5 linked regions of the Callithrix jacchus genome follow. The protein of the gene in region 3 interacts with the protein of the main gene of each other region in a pairwise test. Links are inferred from orthologs where the notes say so. Each region holds a gene or a part of one and is shown on either strand. Other genes may lie near its edges. The genes, in order: SH3BP5, CEP63, SPTBN1, TRAF3IP1 and TNIK.

Evidence for each region.
Region 1: the proteins of SPTBN1 (region 3) and SH3BP5 interact in a two-hybrid assay, tested with the Homo sapiens proteins (2 studies listed by BioGRID and IntAct). The link is inferred for Callithrix jacchus from reciprocal best matches to the Homo sapiens genes SPTBN1 and SH3BP5.
Region 2: the proteins of SPTBN1 (region 3) and CEP63 interact in a two-hybrid assay, tested with the Homo sapiens proteins (2 studies listed by BioGRID and IntAct). The link is inferred for Callithrix jacchus from reciprocal best matches to the Homo sapiens genes SPTBN1 and CEP63.
Region 4: the proteins of SPTBN1 (region 3) and TRAF3IP1 interact in a two-hybrid assay, tested with the Homo sapiens proteins (2 studies listed by BioGRID and IntAct). The link is inferred for Callithrix jacchus from reciprocal best matches to the Homo sapiens genes SPTBN1 and TRAF3IP1.
Region 5: the proteins of SPTBN1 (region 3) and TNIK interact in a two-hybrid assay, tested with the Homo sapiens proteins (2 studies listed by BioGRID and IntAct). The link is inferred for Callithrix jacchus from reciprocal best matches to the Homo sapiens genes SPTBN1 and TNIK.

Annotation. Positions count from the first base shown.
Region 1 is NC_133518.1:54,070,076-54,072,435, reverse strand, and holds the end of SH3BP5 (SH3 domain-binding protein 5), read left to right. Parts: intron 1-384; coding exon 385-602; 3' UTR 603-1,847; downstream 1,848-2,360. UniProt on the Homo sapiens protein: Functions as a guanine nucleotide exchange factor (GEF) with specificity for RAB11A and RAB25. Inhibits the auto- and transphosphorylation activity of BTK. Plays a negative regulatory role in BTK-related cytoplasmic signaling in B-cells.
Region 2 is NC_133518.1:49,699,458-49,703,733, reverse strand, and holds the start of CEP63 (centrosomal protein of 63 kDa), read left to right. Parts: upstream 1-1,468; 5' UTR 1,469-1,595; coding exon 1,596-1,912; intron 1,913-1,954; exon of another isoform or gene 1,955-2,191; coding exon of another isoform or gene 2,192-2,348; intron 2,349-3,502; coding exon of another isoform or gene 3,503-3,573; intron 3,574-4,276. UniProt on the Homo sapiens protein: Required for normal spindle assembly.
Region 3 is NC_133515.1:59,861,396-59,864,910, reverse strand, and holds part of SPTBN1 (spectrin beta chain, non-erythrocytic 1), read left to right. Parts: intron 1-6; coding exon 7-211; intron 212-629; coding exon 630-1,004; intron 1,005-3,515. UniProt on the Homo sapiens protein: Fodrin, which seems to be involved in secretion, interacts with calmodulin in a calcium-dependent manner and is thus candidate for the calcium-dependent movement of the cytoskeleton at the membrane.
Region 4 is NC_133507.1:159,642,338-159,646,318, forward strand, and holds the start of TRAF3IP1 (TRAF3-interacting protein 1), read left to right. Parts: upstream 1-1,170; 5' UTR 1,171-1,322; coding exon 1,323-1,445; intron 1,446-3,981.
Region 5 is NC_133518.1:15,589,156-15,593,274, reverse strand, and holds the start of TNIK (TRAF2 and NCK-interacting protein kinase), read right to left. Parts: upstream 2,811-4,119; 5' UTR 2,496-2,810; coding exon 2,439-2,495; intron 2,305-2,438; exon of another isoform or gene 2,161-2,304; intron 1-2,160. UniProt on the Homo sapiens protein: Serine/threonine kinase that acts as an essential activator of the Wnt signaling pathway. Recruited to promoters of Wnt target genes and required to activate their expression. May act by phosphorylating TCF4/TCF7L2.

The sequences.
Region 1 (2,360 bases), on a different chromosome or scaffold from region 3:
TGGTCTCTGGTTGTGCTGTCAGTGTTGATCACTGAGGTTATTTCCAAGTGCTGTTCTGGGGAGGCTCCTGGCTCCACTCAGCTTCTATAAAGTAGGGCTTAGGTCCTGTGTCTCACATCAGAACAGTCTCCTTGGCAAGCACATAGTAGAAAGGTTTGTTTCTCAGCTATAAAGTGAATATGGCAAATTTCATCTCTAAAGTCAAGGAATATATAGAACATCACAAGGAATAAAAGCAGTAAGTGATTACATACTCAGAACCTCCCGGATAGGCACAGAAGGCAACACTGGGAATTCCACAGGGCTGAGTTAGCTAGTTGGTTTGAGCCCAAAGTGACTTAAAATTGTCAAGACTCACTTTTGATAATCTTTGTATTTCTATAGGAGACAGGGCAGAAGGGGCAGAAAATAAAACAAGTGACAAAGCCAACAACAACCAGGGCCTCAGCAATAGCAGTGGCGGTGGTGGCAGCAGTAAGAGCCACAGCAGCACCTCCCCTGAGGGCCAGGCCTTGGAGAACCGGATGAAGCAGCTCTCCCTACAGCGCTCAAAAGGAAGAGATGGGATTATTGCTGACATAAAAATGGTGCAGATTGGCTGATTCATCCTGGGCCCTGCCCATGTGCGTATCAACATTTATACATGGAACTGGAGAACATTGTGCCAATAATCATTTAATATATGCCAAATCTTACGCGTCTACTCTAAACTGCACTAATGAAGTTTCAGTGACCTTGAGGGCTGAAGATGGTTCTGGGTAAGAGTCCTGAGCTGGTTTGTTTTTCAGAGCAGAGTTGTCGCAGGCAGACTGTGACCAGGTTCACAGCCTTTGTGGAACATTCCTTGTAATGGCACTGTGGAAGCAATAACTAGTTCCTATGAAAGAACCAGAGCTGGGAAGATGGCTGGGAAGCTAAGCCAAAGTGGGGCCAACAGCTTGCTTCTCTTTCTCTTCTCACCCTCAATTTTGAATGGGAAAATGGAGATTTCACTCCACTTTTACCCCATGATAGCTAAATGATAAGGAAAACCCACATACAAAGCAAAAACTCAAGTATTGAGAGCACATATTTTTGACCCGGTGGAGGCTTAAAAAAATCCAAGAACACAACTCATTTTCATCACCTCTGGTGTTCAGAGGGGGCTTTTTAAAAAGCGTGTATGCTAAGATACCCATTAAAACCATTTCTAGAAAGGCTACCAAGAGCTGCACTTTTTGGGATGGGGAAGGTGAATGCCAGTGGGGATGGGGGGGGCATGAGGGTAGGAGGGACTTATCATAGAAGGGAATCTGTGGCTGTGGGGGAGAAGGTTCTACAGCATAAACCTTATTCTGCCGGCTAAGGGGATTTATTCTAAGAGAAGTGCATGTGAAGAATGGTTGCCACTGTTATTAGATTGACAAGGTGTTAATTTATCTGTAGGTTGTAACTTTAAAAATAAACGAAATTATTTAAGGGTTATGCTGCACTAGTATTCCTTAGAGGAAACTTCTTTAAAGCTAGGAAAGGGAGTGGGCATGTGTTGGCAAAGGCTGTTAAATAGAAGCAACAGAGTCTGTTATGTTAATAGTAGTAAGTGTTAAGACTGCTTTTCTTTAATGTTTTCATGGTAATGCATATTTAGAGCACTGTATTTTTGTCTCGTTTTGTTAAGAAAATTTAGCATTTCTAAAAAAACCCTCTTTCAAATTGTTAATTCTGTCACAGCCTGTATATTTTAGTCATTTGTAAATCTCTTCATACAACAGTGACTCCTCCTTTTTTGACTGATACAGTATCCTAATTACAAGGTTATTTTGTACTTGTCTTAATACATTGAGTGTAATAAAAACCGCTTGAGAAAAGTTTCCTCTGTGACTTCAAATAAGAACTCCCAGTATTGTCTAAATCTTCTATGCCACCCTCTTGCCATAAGGAAGAACATGGAGTGCTGTGGTCACCAGTAATCATTTTCAATTAAGGTTTTGAAGAACAGTAGTAATTTAAGCCTTGATTACCAAGGTTTGAGTTCTACTTCTGCTGCTGCTAAAGCTATGGGCAATGAGGAGACACAGTGACAGATAAATAAAGATGATGTGGTGATGCTGGAGGAATGGTCCTCAGCCTCAGCTGCACACTGCAGTCTCCTAGGAAGCTTAAGTGTTGCTGTCAGGTCTCTTCCCCAGAGTTAATTAACTGGGGGTACACTTGTGCATCAGACTTTTAAAAGCTCCCCAAGGGGATTTCAAATGTGCATTCAGAGTTGAGAATCAGGTGGATCCTTTGTCTTGTGGAAATGTTATAATGGTGGACTCTTAATCTGCATTTCATTATTAAAACATGCTGTGGAGAAAAAGGTCCTTCATTGGCCAATCGAG
Region 2 (4,276 bases), on a different chromosome or scaffold from region 3:
TTTCCTTTACAAGCTCAACTTCAGACATTGCCTTGCCTTGAGGATTTGTACAACTCTGGTCTGTAGTTGGTCCCTTCGTATACTCCACCTCAGTGTCATCTCAGTATGTTCATGAGCTCCTGTGCTTAGGAATGCTGAGGTTTGGGCCAAAGCAGGTGGAAGCTTTTGTAAAAATGGCTCACAGACGTCCCCCATAGGGTAACTGCAAGGTATTCCTACTCCTTGGCAAAAATTATACACAGATTGGTATGGGCAAGGGTTCTTACCCCCATGATAAGGATCTGGGCAAAAGTTAAGCAAAATGTGTCTTGCTACTTCTATCACCGGTGAGCCAGGTGAGGTCTTAATTAATCCAGTACTCAATAATTAACCCAGTACTACCCAGTGGATAACTCAAAGCAAGACGAAGTTTTGGTTATACTTTCGTAGTCCCCGTCTTACAAGAGCTCCCCACTTTTGTGCTGCTACTCCTTCGTCCTTGCTGCTCTGTCCCCTGGGATACCCTTCTCACTTTCCTCAGCTGATCCAAACATTTCCCCAGGCCCACACAGATTTTCCACCTTTTAATACAATTTTCTCAAATCACTTGAGCTTCATAGGCCTTCTATCCTTGAACTCCTGTTTCTTGTCCTAACTTAATCTACTAAACAAGCTAGGTCAGCTTTGTGATAACTGCTCAGGTATTATTGTCTCCAACTGTTAAGGGTACATTTTTTACCCATGATTTCTTAGATCTTTCCACAGTTTGGCCTCAATCTTTGTCACCTGTCCCTTCACCAAACACCTCCAACCATGTCACATTTTCCAGCCTTGGCAATTAAAATCCCCTTTTCCACATCACTAATGCTACTCTTCCTTTCAAGATTAAAGCAGGCGTCAGCTCTTGAAGATCAACATCCCATTTCCAGGGTTAGATGCAAAGGTGCCTTCACTCATAAGGGACCGGAAGGATCGGAAGCATCAAGACAATCAATGCCCAGGGCACAGTCACCGTCCCAAGTACTCGTCACACAGCACGACCACTGTTTCCTGAACAAACTTTTCTTACGTTACAGTCCCAATGCTTGCAATGTTCTTTTTTTCTCTTCCTTTTTATTCCAGTGAACCTCTAAAAATCTTAGGTCCCAGGGAGCTTCCTGTAGGAGGCCGCCTCCAAACCCCAGGCTGAGCGCGGTCCTAGTACCTACCCCTCCAAGGATCGCACAGTTCCCTGAGCACACAGCAGGGCACCAACTGGGGAGTTTGTCACACAGCCCAGATGTATTTCTTTCCAGACACGCGGTGCCAGCGTTTCCCAGGACAGAAGAATGTCTTAACAATCTCTATGTATTATATATATATAGCTTCGTAAACATGTATTTATTGAAGTCAAGGCTGGAAAGCCTTGTTCCTCGCTAGAAATGAGCCTCGCAGGCCACCACCGTCAGCGCCGTACGTGAAGCCGCCCGTCAGCTGCGGCTTCCGGCCTAAGGCAGGAGGTGCCAAACGTGGAAGCGCGGATGGGGAAGTCTGGAGGCGCCACCCAATTCCCTTTCCTCCCGACACAACGTGCAGTAAGGGAAATAGTTATGAGTTTAAAGTGACGACCTCAGCCGATGGGAATACGGGAAAGTCCGACACTGAGAAACGAACGCATTTCTGCGCCCCCAAGACCTAGACCAGGGTCGCTGGAAACCCTTACCAGCATCCAGCACACAGCAGCTGGCGCTTCCTCCGGCCACGCCCTCAGCATCACTAGTCCCCACGCTCTTCCCTCGGATTCCCGGATGTGGGTGAGTCCATTTGCTTGCGGGCCGGGGAAGTCTGAAGGAGAGTTTCAATTAAAAGTGTGGGGGCAGTGGGCGGGACGAACGCGCCGACAGAGGCTGGTAGTATGCTCGGCGGTGGCGCGCGTGCGCTGCGCCGGCCTGAGGTAACGGCGGGAAAAGTTCGGGGGCGCGCTTGTCGCAGCTTTGTAACCGCTTGTGCGCACGTCGGACGGGCAAGGGGCGGGCGTGCCCTGGTCTGGAGGCGGCCCATGCTGCCGTGGTGACCCTGGCTTCGTGGCCTCATAGCTTGCGGCTGGTTCCCGCCACAGCCTGCGAGTCACCAGGCGCGTCCCAGCCGGCTCGGGTCAGCCTCCGAGACCCGCCCCTCGACCTTACCTGCTGCGCCACGCAGACCAGCGGAGTCGGGCTTGGCGCTGTCGGGCATGGCGCCGTCCGGCGCGCGGGTTCGGCTCTGCCAGGTGGTCAGCCCTTCCGCGGAGACCGGGCGGTGGGGGTCACCTCGGAGGGTGGCCAGGGGGGCCGGCGTGCTGCGGCCAGGACTCACTTTGCCCGGCGGACCCACCATCCCTTTCAGCGCAGGTACCCCAGCGCCGCCTCCCTGCCGGGGCTGCTGTGTAGCTAACGCTGTTGGGACTACTTCATTCATCTCACAGGGGACCTGCTCATTCACTTGAAGACAGTACATCTAGGCTTATAATGTGGTTTTTCTTATGTCCCTTACGACATCAGGAAGATGAGTGCGATGTCAGATACTAGTCATCTTTTATACTTTCAGCACCGTACACTAATATGCATAAAATAGTTTTCCCTGAGCCTTATGTCCGATTAAACTGATTAAAAGAATTTTTTCCTTTGAAGAAGCAGTATTGTAGGGTAGGAACGCGTATTTATACGGTTCCTCATGTGTTAGCTTTTATTAGACAAGAAGAAATCATAAGGATCATTAATTAGATTTCTGTTAGTTGTAGCTTAATGATATACTAAAGTGTGTATATTATTTGGAATGCAGTATGATTTGTAGATCGATCTTGCCTTTTGACTGTAGTTATCAGTGATCAGGTAGTAAAAAAAGGCTCTGAAATTAAAATGAGGTAGAGATTTATAAACAAGCGCACTGCCTTTTAAAATATATGTAGATTCAAATCTAAAAGCTGTAAAAATTAATGTTGATTGTACTGATGCCATTTCCTCTCGTTAAAAGGTGAAAGACCTTTTCTTAGTTTTTTCTGTTCTCATTTATGTTGTGCTGGCAGATGGTGACAGCATCAGTAGTCGACTCTGTCATAGCTTCCTGCTTTCAAAAAATGTCTACTTGACTTGAAATTCAGCTAAAGCCAACATTGACATAAGGTTTCAGGAACTGAATCTCTGATCTCTATGTTATTTTAGCCCCCCCCCAGCTAGGTTTTTTTCAGTTTTACAAAGCCACAATACTGTCATTAAACGTATACAAATTAATAAAAATTCCCTAATGTCAATATCTAGTTAGATTCCGAATTCTTCAACTCTCTCCTAAATGTCTTCTTACAGTTAGCTTGTTTGAACCAAAATCCCACGTCTGCCTGTTACCTTTGGGTGATACACATTTGACATTTTTTAATCAATAACAGTTCCCACATAGCTATAGCTATAGGACTGGCCCTTATTTTTCCTTGCAGTTCTAAATTTAGCAGATTGCATTGCACAGTATCTTTTAACACGTATCTGTGTTGCCTTTATGTCCTCTAAACCAGGGTTTCCCGACCCCGGGGCCGCAGAGCACTACGGTCCGTGGCCTGTTAAGAACCTGGCTATAGAGCAGGAGGTGAGTGGCAGGAGAGTGAGCATCACCTACCACCTGAGCCCTGCCTCCTGTCAGATCAGCCATGAGGTTAGATTCTCCTAGAAGCACACCCCTATTGTGAATTACGCAGGCGAGGAATCTAGGTTGCACGCTCCTTATAAGAATCACTAACTATTGGGAGGCTGAGGCGGGTGGATCACGAGGTCAAGAGATCATCGAGACCATCCTGGTCAACATGGTGAAACCCCGTCTCTACTAAAAACACACACAAAAAAATTAGCTGGGCATGGTGGTGCGTGCCTGTAATCCCAGCTACTCAGGAGGCTGAGGCAGGAGAATTGCCTGAACCCAGGAGGCGGAGGTTGTGGTGAGCCGAGATCGCGCCATTGTACTCCAGCCTGGGTAACAAGAGCGAAACTCTGTCTCCAAAAAAAAAAAAAAAGAATCACTAACTAATGCCTAATGCTCTGAGGTGGAACAGTTTCATCCTGAAACCATGTCCCTAACCATGTCCATGTGTATTATTCATATTAGTCAAGAAGTGGTTTGGCCATTTCCCCCAAACAACATTTCATATGAATTTTCACAAAAAAAAAAAAGACAAAATATGTTATTTTCACCCTGTCGGTGGAAAAATTCTTCATGAAACAGGCCCCTGGTGCCAAAAAGGTTGAGGACCACTGCTCTAAACCAGTAGTTAGATGTAGAATTGCACTGTCCAGTA
Region 3 (3,515 bases):
TTTCAGTGAACGCATTAGCATGCGGCAGTCCAAAGTGGATAAACTGTACGCTGGTCTGAAAGACCTTGCTGAAGAGAGGAGAGGCAAGCTAGATGAGAGACACAGGTTATTCCAGCTCAACCGGGAAGTAGACGACCTGGAACAGTGGATCGCTGAGAGGGAGGTGGTCGCAGGGTCCCATGAACTGGGACAGGACTATGAGCATGTCACGGCAAGTACTTCAGACAGTGCGTGAGTTGGTTGTGCAGTGAGCGATGGTGTGGAGGCCCATTTGCATTCCTTATCTGTGACCAGATAAGATGCCCTGGACTCCAATCAGAGGTCTTGGGGTTTAGTTTTTAGGTGGTGTTTCTTTTATAAGCAGGAGACTTGCATTTAGATGGGCTAACCTCTCTGTGTACCCCTTCCCCCAGTAGTTAAAGGAGGTGGAGGTAGTGCCTCACTCTGCTGCAGGGAGCAAGAAGGAAACCTGATTGCTAAGAGGTTCTCGAACTAGGATCTGTTGTTCTTAAGTCATGAGTATTATGGTTACATCTTGCTTAGAGGCAGTTTATTTCCAAAGGCTATTCATGTGATCAAGAAATAGTTCACAATGGGCTCACTGATTTCCTTACCCATCTTCGTTTCAGATGTTACAAGAACGATTCCGGGAATTTGCCCGAGATACTGGGAACATTGGGCAGGAGCGCGTGGACACGGTCAATCACATGGCAGATGAACTCATTAACTCTGGACATTCGGATGCCGCCACCATCGCTGAATGGAAGGATGGTCTCAACGAAGCCTGGGCCGACCTCCTGGAGCTCATTGACACAAGAACACAGATCCTTGCCGCTTCCTATGAACTGCACAAGTTTTACCATGATGCCAAGGAGATCTTTGGGCGTATACAGGACAAACACAAGAAACTCCCTGAGGAGCTTGGGAGAGATCAGAACACAGTGGAGACCTTACAGAGAATGCACACTACATTTGAGCATGACATCCAGGCTCTGGGCACACAGGTGGGTAGGGCAGCCACCCATGGGTGGTAGGGAGGCTTTCTCTCTACCTCAAAAGAATTGTCCCAGTTAAGCACATACATGTACCCACTTTGTAATAGTGCTTCATTTGGGAGAACTTAACAGTCCATAAAAGTCTACATTTGCCACATTTGCAAACATTAGACAAGTGTCCCCATAATTAAATAAACCTGATGCATACACAGACACAAGTGAGTCACAGGCCTCAGCGAGAGTTTTTATTATGTTAGCATATTCATCCAGAACAATTTCCAAAATAATACCTTACTATTTTTTATCAACTGGGTTCTAAGTTATATGCCTGGAAAAAGAAAAACTGGATTTCTAACATTTTAGCATGCCTGGTCCCCAGTATAAAATGACTGGCACTAAGGCTTTGTTCAAAAGATATTTGACAAAGTAGTAACAATATAGCAAAATCTGGTGTAGTCACTCTCTAGTTTCCTTTCTGATCTCTGCAGTTTCTTATTTCGTCTTAGGCCTTTTAGTTGAAAAACAAATTGTATTTTTTTTCTTCTAAGTTTCATGGTACTAGAGAAGAAGCCAGTTTTATTAAAGATGTTATCCGTGGTGATGTCAGGGGTTTTGTTCTTGTTGTTAAGAGTATACTGAGTATCTAGATTATCTCAGCTTTTTCTGTTAAAAGCCAAGTAGTAAATATTTTCAGCTTATGAGACTCACACTCTCCGTTGCAGCTCTGCCCTCTGCCATTGTAGCATAAAGCAGATATAGACAGTGAGAAAATGAATGAGCTAGCTGTGTTCCTGTAAATCTTTACTTACAGAAACAGGCCGCTCATATACAGCCTTGGGCTGACCCAGTCTACTGCCTCAGCCTCTAGATGGCTTTGGTATACTTTGGGATTTGTTCTGTGAAGGGACCACCTTGGTTGTTGTTCTCTCTCACTTCTTCTTAATTCTTTTTTTTTTTTTTAAATTTTTTATTGCATTTTAGGTTTTGGGGTACATGAGCAGAATTCCTCTTAATTCCTAATTCCTGTCACTGTGACTGCAAGTTTAATTTACCTCTCTAAGCTTTGGTTCCCTAATAGTTTAGGGATTGAGATGCAAAATAATATAACATAATGAGATTTCTGTAAATGTTTTCTAATTATTATGGTATTACAAAAGTTTAGGAAAACATGGGACACCTAGAGACAGAATTAGAAAACACCTTAGCAGCGTAGGTCTTTCCTTTGCACCTGTAAAGTCATTTACTTTTAGAACTGAAAGACAGTTGAGACATAGTGGAGTTGCGGTCTCATTTTTTCATTAAATCCCTTCACCTCCTTAGACTTAGAGATGAGGAAGCCCAAGAAGGGTCTTGGAACATGCAGGGTGGGAATCTAGTCCTTCGAGTCTGACAGTCTGCACCTCACCACACCCACTGGGCTATGATGTTTATAGCTGTAAAAGGGATGTGTGTCTTACTGCAGGTATTGACCTGATCTGGGTTTATTTTCACAGAGTAACAGAGCAGGGAAGGCTGTTTATGCAGGCTCCCAGGAGCACGTGGTACTTCCCCTTTGGTTGTTTCCTTTTGTGCCAGTTTGACCTGCCACTGTCTCCATTCTGCACAGGAGCAGTGGGAGTGACACATAGCACTGATGAAGATCTTGAGTGTTTATACAAAGCAATAGTTAATATTTATGGAAATTTTCACTTGTTATCCTCTTCTACTTTACGTTTTATTGGGAGAAGAAATTTATAGAAAACAACCAGACACACGGAAACAGGTGTTTTAAAAAATGTGATTCGTTGTGTAGGAAAATTAGCTTTTCACATTATTTCCTAGGAATTTGCTCATTATAATTCAAGTTAAACCTGGGCATAATCAAAGAATATTTCCAAAAGTCACTTGGGATATTAAAATCAAATTACAATGGAAACCAAAGCCCACTGGTTCTTCTTTGCATCTTTTGCAGAAACTACTTTTTTTTTTTAACCTATTGTCACCTGAAGTCCTTCTGTGCAATCAGGAATCAGTAATCCACCTCCCTACAAGCCCTAGTGCTGTCTGTCCCCACCCCCTTTTACTCCACTTAGCATTTCTCCAAACACTACTCTCACAGACATCTAAAAGCTCTCATCATCCAGGACAGTTATCTGCAGACTTCTTTGATCATGCAGCTTTATCAGTAAATGATGATTGGGTGTCCATTCCCCTCTATGTATATATCTTTAATTAGACATTGTGCACAAGTGTGGCACTAGTAATGTTACGTACTTTATATAAGACATGTAAGAGGAGAAAATTTATAAAATTAGCTGCACTTATCAGCTTCAGTTATAAAGACATACACTGTCCCCCAAAAAAGGTAAGAGTGTATTCTTATTTTTGTTTTTACAGAGGAAGAATATTATGCACATTGTCTGCACTGTTTATTCCACTTAATCATCTTGGTGTGTTTTTCATGTTGACTACATAGAAGCCCTTCCTCATTCGTTTTCATGACTACATAGGAGCCTCCTGCTGGATGAACCATCATTAGTT
Region 4 (3,981 bases), on a different chromosome or scaffold from region 3:
GAAGGCTGCCAGAAACACAATAGACAGAACAAAGAATTACAGAAGACTTTTTTTCTTTGAGACGGAGTTTCACTCTTGTTGCCCAGGCTAGAGTGTAATAGTGATCTCGGCTGATTGCAACCTCCGTCTCCCAGGTTCAAGTGATTCTCCTGGCTCAGCCTCCCGAGTAGCTGGTACTGCAGGCATGCGCCACCATGCCCACCCGGCTAATTTTATATTTTTAGTACAGACGGGGTTTCTCCATGTTGGTCAGGCTGGTCTTGAACTCGTGACCTCAGGTGCCCACCTCGGCTTCCCAAGGTGCTGGGATTACAGGCGTGAGCCACAACGCCTGGCTGTATGGAAGATTTTTATTCTGAACCTATGCAAGCCAGAAGTCAATGGGGTAACATCCTTAAAGTACGGAAAAAAAAAAACAAAACCCAGTCAAGTTAGAATTTTATACTTTTTGTTTGTTTGTTTTTAAAGACAGAGTTTTGCTGTGTTGCCCAGGCTGGGGTGCGGTGGCGCGACTTCGGCTCACTGCAGTCTCTGGCCCCCGGGGTTCAAGCGATTCCTCAGCCTTCCAAGTAGTTGGGGTTACAGGCACACACCACCACGACCGGCTGATTTTTGTATTTTCAGTAGAGACGGGGTTTCACCATGTTGGCCAGGATGGTCTCGATCTCTTGACCTACTGATCCGCCCGCCTGGGCCTCCCAAAGTGCTGGGATTACAGGCGTGAGCCACCGCGCCCGGCCAGGACAGTCTATTTTCCATTCCGTGTGTTTTGGGATAACAGCTCCATCCCCTCCGATGAACCAGTGCCCGCGAAAGCCCTTGAGATTTGGGAAGCAGGCGGCCCAGATCTTGGTTTACCCCGCTGTGCATCAGTCCTCAGGCGGTGGCCTCTAAGGCGAGCCAACACCCACTTCGCGAGGCCGTCGCTCCGCATTGGAGGGGCGAGGCGCGGGACCCCGGACCACCTTCCCCCGCCCCGCCGCGCCCCCCTCGTCTGCGCACGCGCGGACGCCCCCCCGCCCCCCCCCCTCCGGCGGAATCCCCCTCTTGTTTGCGCCGGCGCAGGACGGTAGACGCGGATGGGGCGCCGCGGCGCGTCCGTTGCTAAGGCCGCGCAGCCCTAGCGACCGAACGCCTTGCGGCTTCCGCGCAGGCGCCGTGGCGGGCTCCGGTGCACTGTGGGATGGAAACCGTAGCGGCGCGTCCTGGCGGGACCGGGCTGTGGCTGCGGGGCGGGCGACGGCGGCGGGGCAGGCGGCGGCCAGGGACCCGGGCTTAGGCTCGGCCGGGTCGGCTGAGGGGCGTGGGCAGCGGAGGCTGCCATGAATTCGGCGGTGGTGAGGCGGACGCAGGAGGCGCTGGGGAAGGTGATCCGGAGGCCGCCGCTGACGGAGAAGCTGCTGAGCAAGCCCCCGTTCCGCTACCTGCACGACATCATCACCGAGGTGGGCGCCGGGGGCCGCGCCGGGCCAGGGGCGGGTCGGGGTCCCGGTGGGCGCCGGGTGTTAGCCAGGGTCGGGGGCCGGGGCTGGGCCGGGGTCAGGGCCCGGGCCGGGCTCGAGGTGCAGGTAGGGGACCAGGTCAGGGCCGAGTGTGGACCCGGTGTGGGCCGGGGTCGGGGTGCAGGTCGGGGACCGGGTCAGGGCCGGGCGCGGGGTGCGGTTAGGGGGCTGCAGTCAGTCCCGGGGTCGGGGCCAGAGCTCTGTGCAGCCCCTGCCCCGGAGCCCGGCCTGTAGGCCCAATTCCGCGGCGCCCTCCTCGCGGACGTCTGACCCCTTCCCCCGCTCCCGGCCGCTTACAGGGAGGCTCCGGGCCCTCGGGGAGCATTCTTAACTTCTTCCCTGCCTGTCCGTGTATCTCTTTAGAGCGCATCTTCCATTCTGCTCCCTCCTTGTGTAACCCTGGGGAACCCCTCTCGCTTGCGCTGGAGCATGTAACACATGGAAGGCGCTCCCTAAATCCTGGGACAATGGAAATAATATTTTTTGTACAACTCTCCTGCCTCAAAGCTGCCCTCCATACCCTATTTTGGGTGCTTGATAAATGTCTGTGGGTGAATTTAGTGGAGGTGGTTGTGGGGAGACTTGGTAGGAACAGCTGTAACAGAGCCGCATAGCCTGCCCTAAATTGAAGATTGGTGGTCTGTGTGGCTTTTCCCCGCTTGCGGGTGGCGTGCTCCTTAGTGACGGAGACCCTGCTTGTCAGCATGGCTCTGGTGATCTGCCCTGGATCAGGTACATAGAAATTCACAGCAAACATCCCCTGTTGCGTGGGACCTGTCACGGCTCCGGGTAACTCCCTGGTAACTCTCAGGAGCGTCACTGCAGGGGGTGCAGCACCCATTTGCAGGGTGCACCCAAGGGCACATGGGAACTCAGAGGTGTGTTCTGGGATTGAGGATTCAGGTCGGACTTGGAGACTTCCGGGGGCTCATGAGCTAACCTGGTGATGGGCCTTAAGCTCCAGTTCTCACTCTTTTCTACAGGTTGGGTGCCGTATTCTTACACAGACATCGCTCTTCTGGTTCTGCCCTCCTACCTTGGCTTCCAGTGTACGCTCTCCTGGAGCCTGTGCCTCTGTGTTAAGACAGTGCTTAAAAATGCTCTTGAATCCACCCACATCCCAGGGCACCGCCAGCCCTGGTTATGTCCTCCCAACTGGTGCAGCACTTACAGCTTGTCCTGGGCAGTGTGTGGGGAGGGGACCTGCCGTGTGGATAGGCTTGTAGGAGCAGGACAGTGCACATGTCACTCCTGTGAAGTAGGCAGGGCCTACGTCCTCTGCCCCAGAGGAAACAAGTAAGAGCCAATGTGAGCCCAACCCACCACAGCTGTGGCTGCCAAAACCTTTAATCTTCTCCCAGTCCTGCCTGCCCCACTGAAATGCAGAGCCCTAGGAGTGAGGTGCAGGGAGTGTGTCTTATCCTTGTGGGGTAGTGGTGCAGCTCAGCTCTTGGTGACGGTCCAGTCACTACTGCATAGCTGGTCAGAGGCATCCTCGTGGGAAAGGGCCACCCGGGGGCGGCTCACACCTGCAATCCCAGCACTCTGGAAGGCCACAGTAGGCAGATCACTTCGGCCCAGGAGTTCAAGACCAGCCTGGCCAACATGGCAAAACTCCAGCTCTACGAAGAATACAAAAATTAGCCGAGTGTCGTGGTGCACCTGTAATCCCAGCTACTCAGGAAGCTGAGTAGGGAGAATCGCTTGAGCTCAGGAGGTTGAGGCTGCAGTGAGCTGTGATTGCACCAGTGCACTCCAGCCGGTGTGACAGAGTAAGACCCTGTCTCAAAAAAATAAATAAATAAATAAAAGGATCGCCTTCCTGGCCAGGTGGCTAGGGTGTGGGACTAGTTGTGTGTTCCCAATTAGGAATGACTGGTCTGCTCTACTCCCAGAGACTTCCTCATTTATGCCAAAGTTCGTTTTTCTTCTTGTGTAAAGATCAATACAGGAATTGTCACCTACTTGATAAAGAGGCTAGAATGACTGACATATTGGAAAGCATTTTGAGATAATAGGTGGAAAGGGTCTTATGAAAATGCTTTATTATCCTAAATATTATACTCAAATCACCATATTAGTATTTAAGCTACAGCTAAACTAACCATCCCTTTCATTAAGCTAAGTGTGGATCCTGTGATATTAATGTCTCTTGTCACTTACAGTTATTGCTCACAATTTTTTTTTTTTTTTAGAGGGAGTCTTGCTCTGTCACCCAGGCTGGAGTGCAGTGGCACGATCTCGACTCACTGCAACCTCCACCTCCTGGGTTCAAATTATTCTCCTGTCTCAGCCTCCCGAGTAGCTGGGACTACAGGCACATGCCACTATACCCAGTGTTAACTTTTGTATTTTTAGTAGAGATGGGGTTTTGCCACATTGGCCAGGTTGATCTTGAACCCCTGACCTCAAGTGATCCACCCACCTTGGCCTCCCAAAGTGCTGGGATTACAGGTGTGAGCCTCTGTGCCCAGCCAAA
Region 5 (4,119 bases), on a different chromosome or scaffold from region 3:
GGAACCAATGAGACTTCTCGTCTAGATGAGCCCCCCTCTCCGAATGTGGGAAGGTAGAGATGATCTGCCCTCTGATTTGTGGAGATTACCTATGTGGCCTTTGGACCCACTCCAGCAGGCACACCTCACCCACAAGGCTGGTCAAAGACCCTGGCCCTCCGAGATATAACTGTCTCCACATCTTCTAGCCAGCAGTTCCTGGTCCCCCAAACTAGCTGTTGCCCTCTCTGTTTCCACACCTCCCAGCAGGCAGAAAAACAGAGGCAGCCCAGGCCACAAAGAACAATTTCAGTGAATCGTGCAAAGATGTCTTTTCAAAATACAGATCATAAGAACACACATCCCAAGTGCGAACCGCACTTGTCCACCCAGTGGGCCCTCACCGGTTGCTGCTGTACCTGCAGGCTCCGTGTTTGGTATCTCAGAAAACCTTCCCCAGGAAAAAGCCCACAAGGGACATGCCCTGGCCAAACTTAAAATCGCATCAGACTGCTTTCCAATAGAGGAGCAAGGTCGAGATTCCGGCCCAGGGAAATCACTGCAAGCCCTGTGCATTATTCAGACCCCGTCCCCCTTTGCCACTGTCCCCCCCAACCCCCCACCGATTCGCAGCACCCCACCCCCAGTCTGGGCCATCCATCCACCTGATTAACCCGCCCGCAGCAACTCCCAGCGCAGAAAGTAGGGCAAATGAACACACACAGTCGGTAAAGCAGGAAGCCACAGACCTGGCCAAAGCACCCACCCTGTTACCAACCCCACCCCGCTGCGCAGGGGGCAGCCAGTTCCTGATGTGGCATTTCGACTCCAGGGAAATAGACAGCTTCCTGTAATAATGCATGAATGAGCTCTGGCTGCCCAACTATCAGAACAGCCCATTGCAAACGGCAGCTGTTTCTTCTCAACTCATTACCTGCCTTGCTGAAACCTCGCCTCTTGGCCCCACAGATTACGACGAGGAGAGAAAGGGTTATTAAAAGACAGGCGAAAGAAAGCTTTAATTAAGGAGACCAAAGAGAAAGTACCACTTTGACCACAAAGGTAGCTCTTTAAAATATCGGTGCTGAAAGAGGCAATGTCAGAAGTACTATGAATCCAGGTAAATGGCCCCAAGATCCAGCATCAATCTAACAATGTATTCCTCAGGAGGGCGTGTGAACTTCCATGCTTCATCCATCCCGGTGTCGCCCTGTGGAGAGCCAACATCAATTCCTTCTCACCCACCCTCCATACATCAAGTCTATGCACTCGCTATTTTTTAAATTTAATTTTTGATTCGGGAGAGGAAGAAGCCGGCCTTAAATTGGTGCCCAATCCTTCTCAGACACCCGCTGCTGCCACCATCCCCACCCCTCACCCCCTTCCCGGCAGGCAGTATCTAATTAAAATGGCAAGAAAGCTCTGCCCCCTTCCCCGAAGGAGTGTGTTGGGATCGAGAGTTGGGGGTGGGGAAGCGTCGAGGCAGCACTGGGATTCCTGGTATTCTGATCTCAAAACAACAGCAAAATGGATTCTATATCAGTGATGTCTTAGTCAATACAGTGAAACGGCGTCTGAGGTAATTCACGTGAAGGTAAACGCAAACCAGTGGGGCTGGGGGAGGGAGGTGCTCTACAAAGGACTGGCCACAGACACGGGGAAACCACACACACACACATACACACACACACACACACGCACACGCACACACACTCCAGGGAGTTCCGGTCTGATTGAGGAAAAGCAGAAAACACATCCCTTTCACCTGCGTTAAGTTCAGCCATAAAACTGAAACATTACAGCCACGAAGTCAGAAAGCACAGGCAGGGCTGAGTTAAAGCCATAAATAAAGGTGAGTGGCAGACTGGCATTTGAGGGAGCGCTGAGAGGGCGCCGGGCGCGGGAGGCAGAAAAGGGGGAGGGGGAGGCAGCTGCCATCTACAAGACCAGCATAGCAATAACTGCCCCTCGGAGCGGAAGGTTCGGCTCCCCGGGGAGAGCCAGCCTCTCAGTGTCTTCTTGCAGGTAGCTGGAAAACGTGAGGGGCCAGTGCCTTTCTTCACGCTGGCATTCTTTTTGCAGAAGGGACAGTCGGGTCTCGCGCCTTGGCACCAGACAACTGCCCGGGGCGTGTACACACACACACACACACACACACGCCTTTCATTTTAATGCTCTTACACCGGTCTACGATGAAACTGGCATAAGCTCCACGAGCCCTCGGGGGCGCCTCGGCCACTGCCAAAGGAAGACTGCACCGCACAGCCCTTGCCGTAGGGACTCAGCCGGGAGCACCCCACAGCCCCGAATCAAAACGCAAATCCCGGTTCCCTCCCCGTCGCATTCTCCCGCTGCCGCCCAGCAGCCCCAGCCCCGGCCCCAGCCCCCAGTCCACGCACCGAGTTCATTCACCCTGACCCAAACCCCTGGAAAGAAACCAGAAAACATGTCCTACTCACCCTCAGAGCCGAGAGATCTATTTCATCCAGGCTTCGAGCCGGGGAGTCGCTCGCCATGTCTACTTCTTCGCTGGAGAAATGGACCAAAACCACCCCGAAGCTGCTCCCTTGGAAATTCCACCTTGGTCTATTTCACTCGCGTCCTCATGCGGGTGCCGCGCCAGAGGCCCCGGGCCCAGCCTCCCCCGCCCACCCCAGCCCCGCAGCGCCGGATCTCGGTCCTCCGCGCGTGGGTCCGCCGGGTCCGGGAGCCCAACCTGCGCGGATCTCCAAGCCCGGAGCGGCGGTGCGTGTGGGCTGAGCGCCCCGATCGGCTAAGGGCGCTGGGGCTGCGTGGGTGTATTTAAATGGGACATGCTTCTTTGCTTGTGCGTGGATGGCGGCTGCATTGGCTGTTATAATGAGACACATCAACTCCTCCACTCCGCGGGGGGAGGGTGGGGGTGGAGAACCACACAGAACTGTCTATCACCGCTTCCTGGGAGGAGTGAAGGGGTGGGGGGAGGCGGAGGAGGCGTGGTCTAGGACTGGGGAGCGGCAGGCCGCGCTTCCTGACCCGGTCCCTCTGCACCAGCGTGGAGGGGGGAGGGGCGCGCACCCTTTCCGCCCAGGCTTTTGCGGGCTCCGCGGGGCGAAGGCGAAGGGCCGTTCCTGAACCTTGACTTGCTTATCACGGGGACCCAAGCTCTATTTCTCTGTGGCCAATTCGTGCACTGCAGCAAAATGGCCCTTCAATCGCATCCTGGGGTTTCTCCGCGAGGTTCAAATGCACTTGCTCTGAGAAAGAGCCGGAGGGAAAAAAAGCAACACCCTCCCTTCCCCATTAATTATTTGTGGGGCTGGAGTTACGCGGGCTGGTGCAAACGGTGCATATAAGGACTTGTGTGGAAGGAAGGGGATCCGCCTCCAGGCGCGGAGAGAGTGGGGGAGATGCGTACACGCACAGTGCACCCAGCCGGGCGCTTCGGCAATTTGCAGCTGCGGCGGGGTCGGGTCCACCCGCGGTCCCCGGAATGCCGACGGCTGGTCCCGGGCGCCGGTCACTCGCCGACTCGGGGTTGGGAAGATTTGCCAGATGCGGGAAAGATGGGAGATCTGAGCGCTCTCTTGGCATCGCCACACCCAGGACCTGCTCGTGTCGCAATTCCCCACGGAAACAACCGAGTTGAAACGAGAAGCTTGTTCTCTGGGTGCAGTAGCTAGAAGGCTTCAGGTAACTCCAAAGCCAACACTGGGTGAGGCAACGCCCACCGCCTCGGCACTCGGCGTTTCTTCCCGGCTGGTTTGCGAGGCAGACCTGCCCAGATTGACAGAGAAAGTTTGGTTAGCGGATAAGAAGTAACGCGGAAGATGTGTACGTGAGAGCGACTTCACTTCACCCACTTTCTCCTGTGAAGGTTGGATGTTTTACAGTGGCATATATGACCTTGCTTCTGTAATCAAGAGTGGGAAGTCACTTCCCCCAATCCCTGCGCAGCCCTTCTTCTCCCGCCTTAGCCACGCAAAATACATAGAAAGAAAACACTGAAACTGAACTTTTCCCCAAATACAGCAGTAGCTTTGAAAGCATTCTTTGCTCCTCTGTTAACAGCAGAATGTTCTTCTGACCCGTGTCCTGATGGTTTCCTAATCACGCAGTATGAATATCAGCTTCAAAATAAGGCTTATGAATGAATGAGTG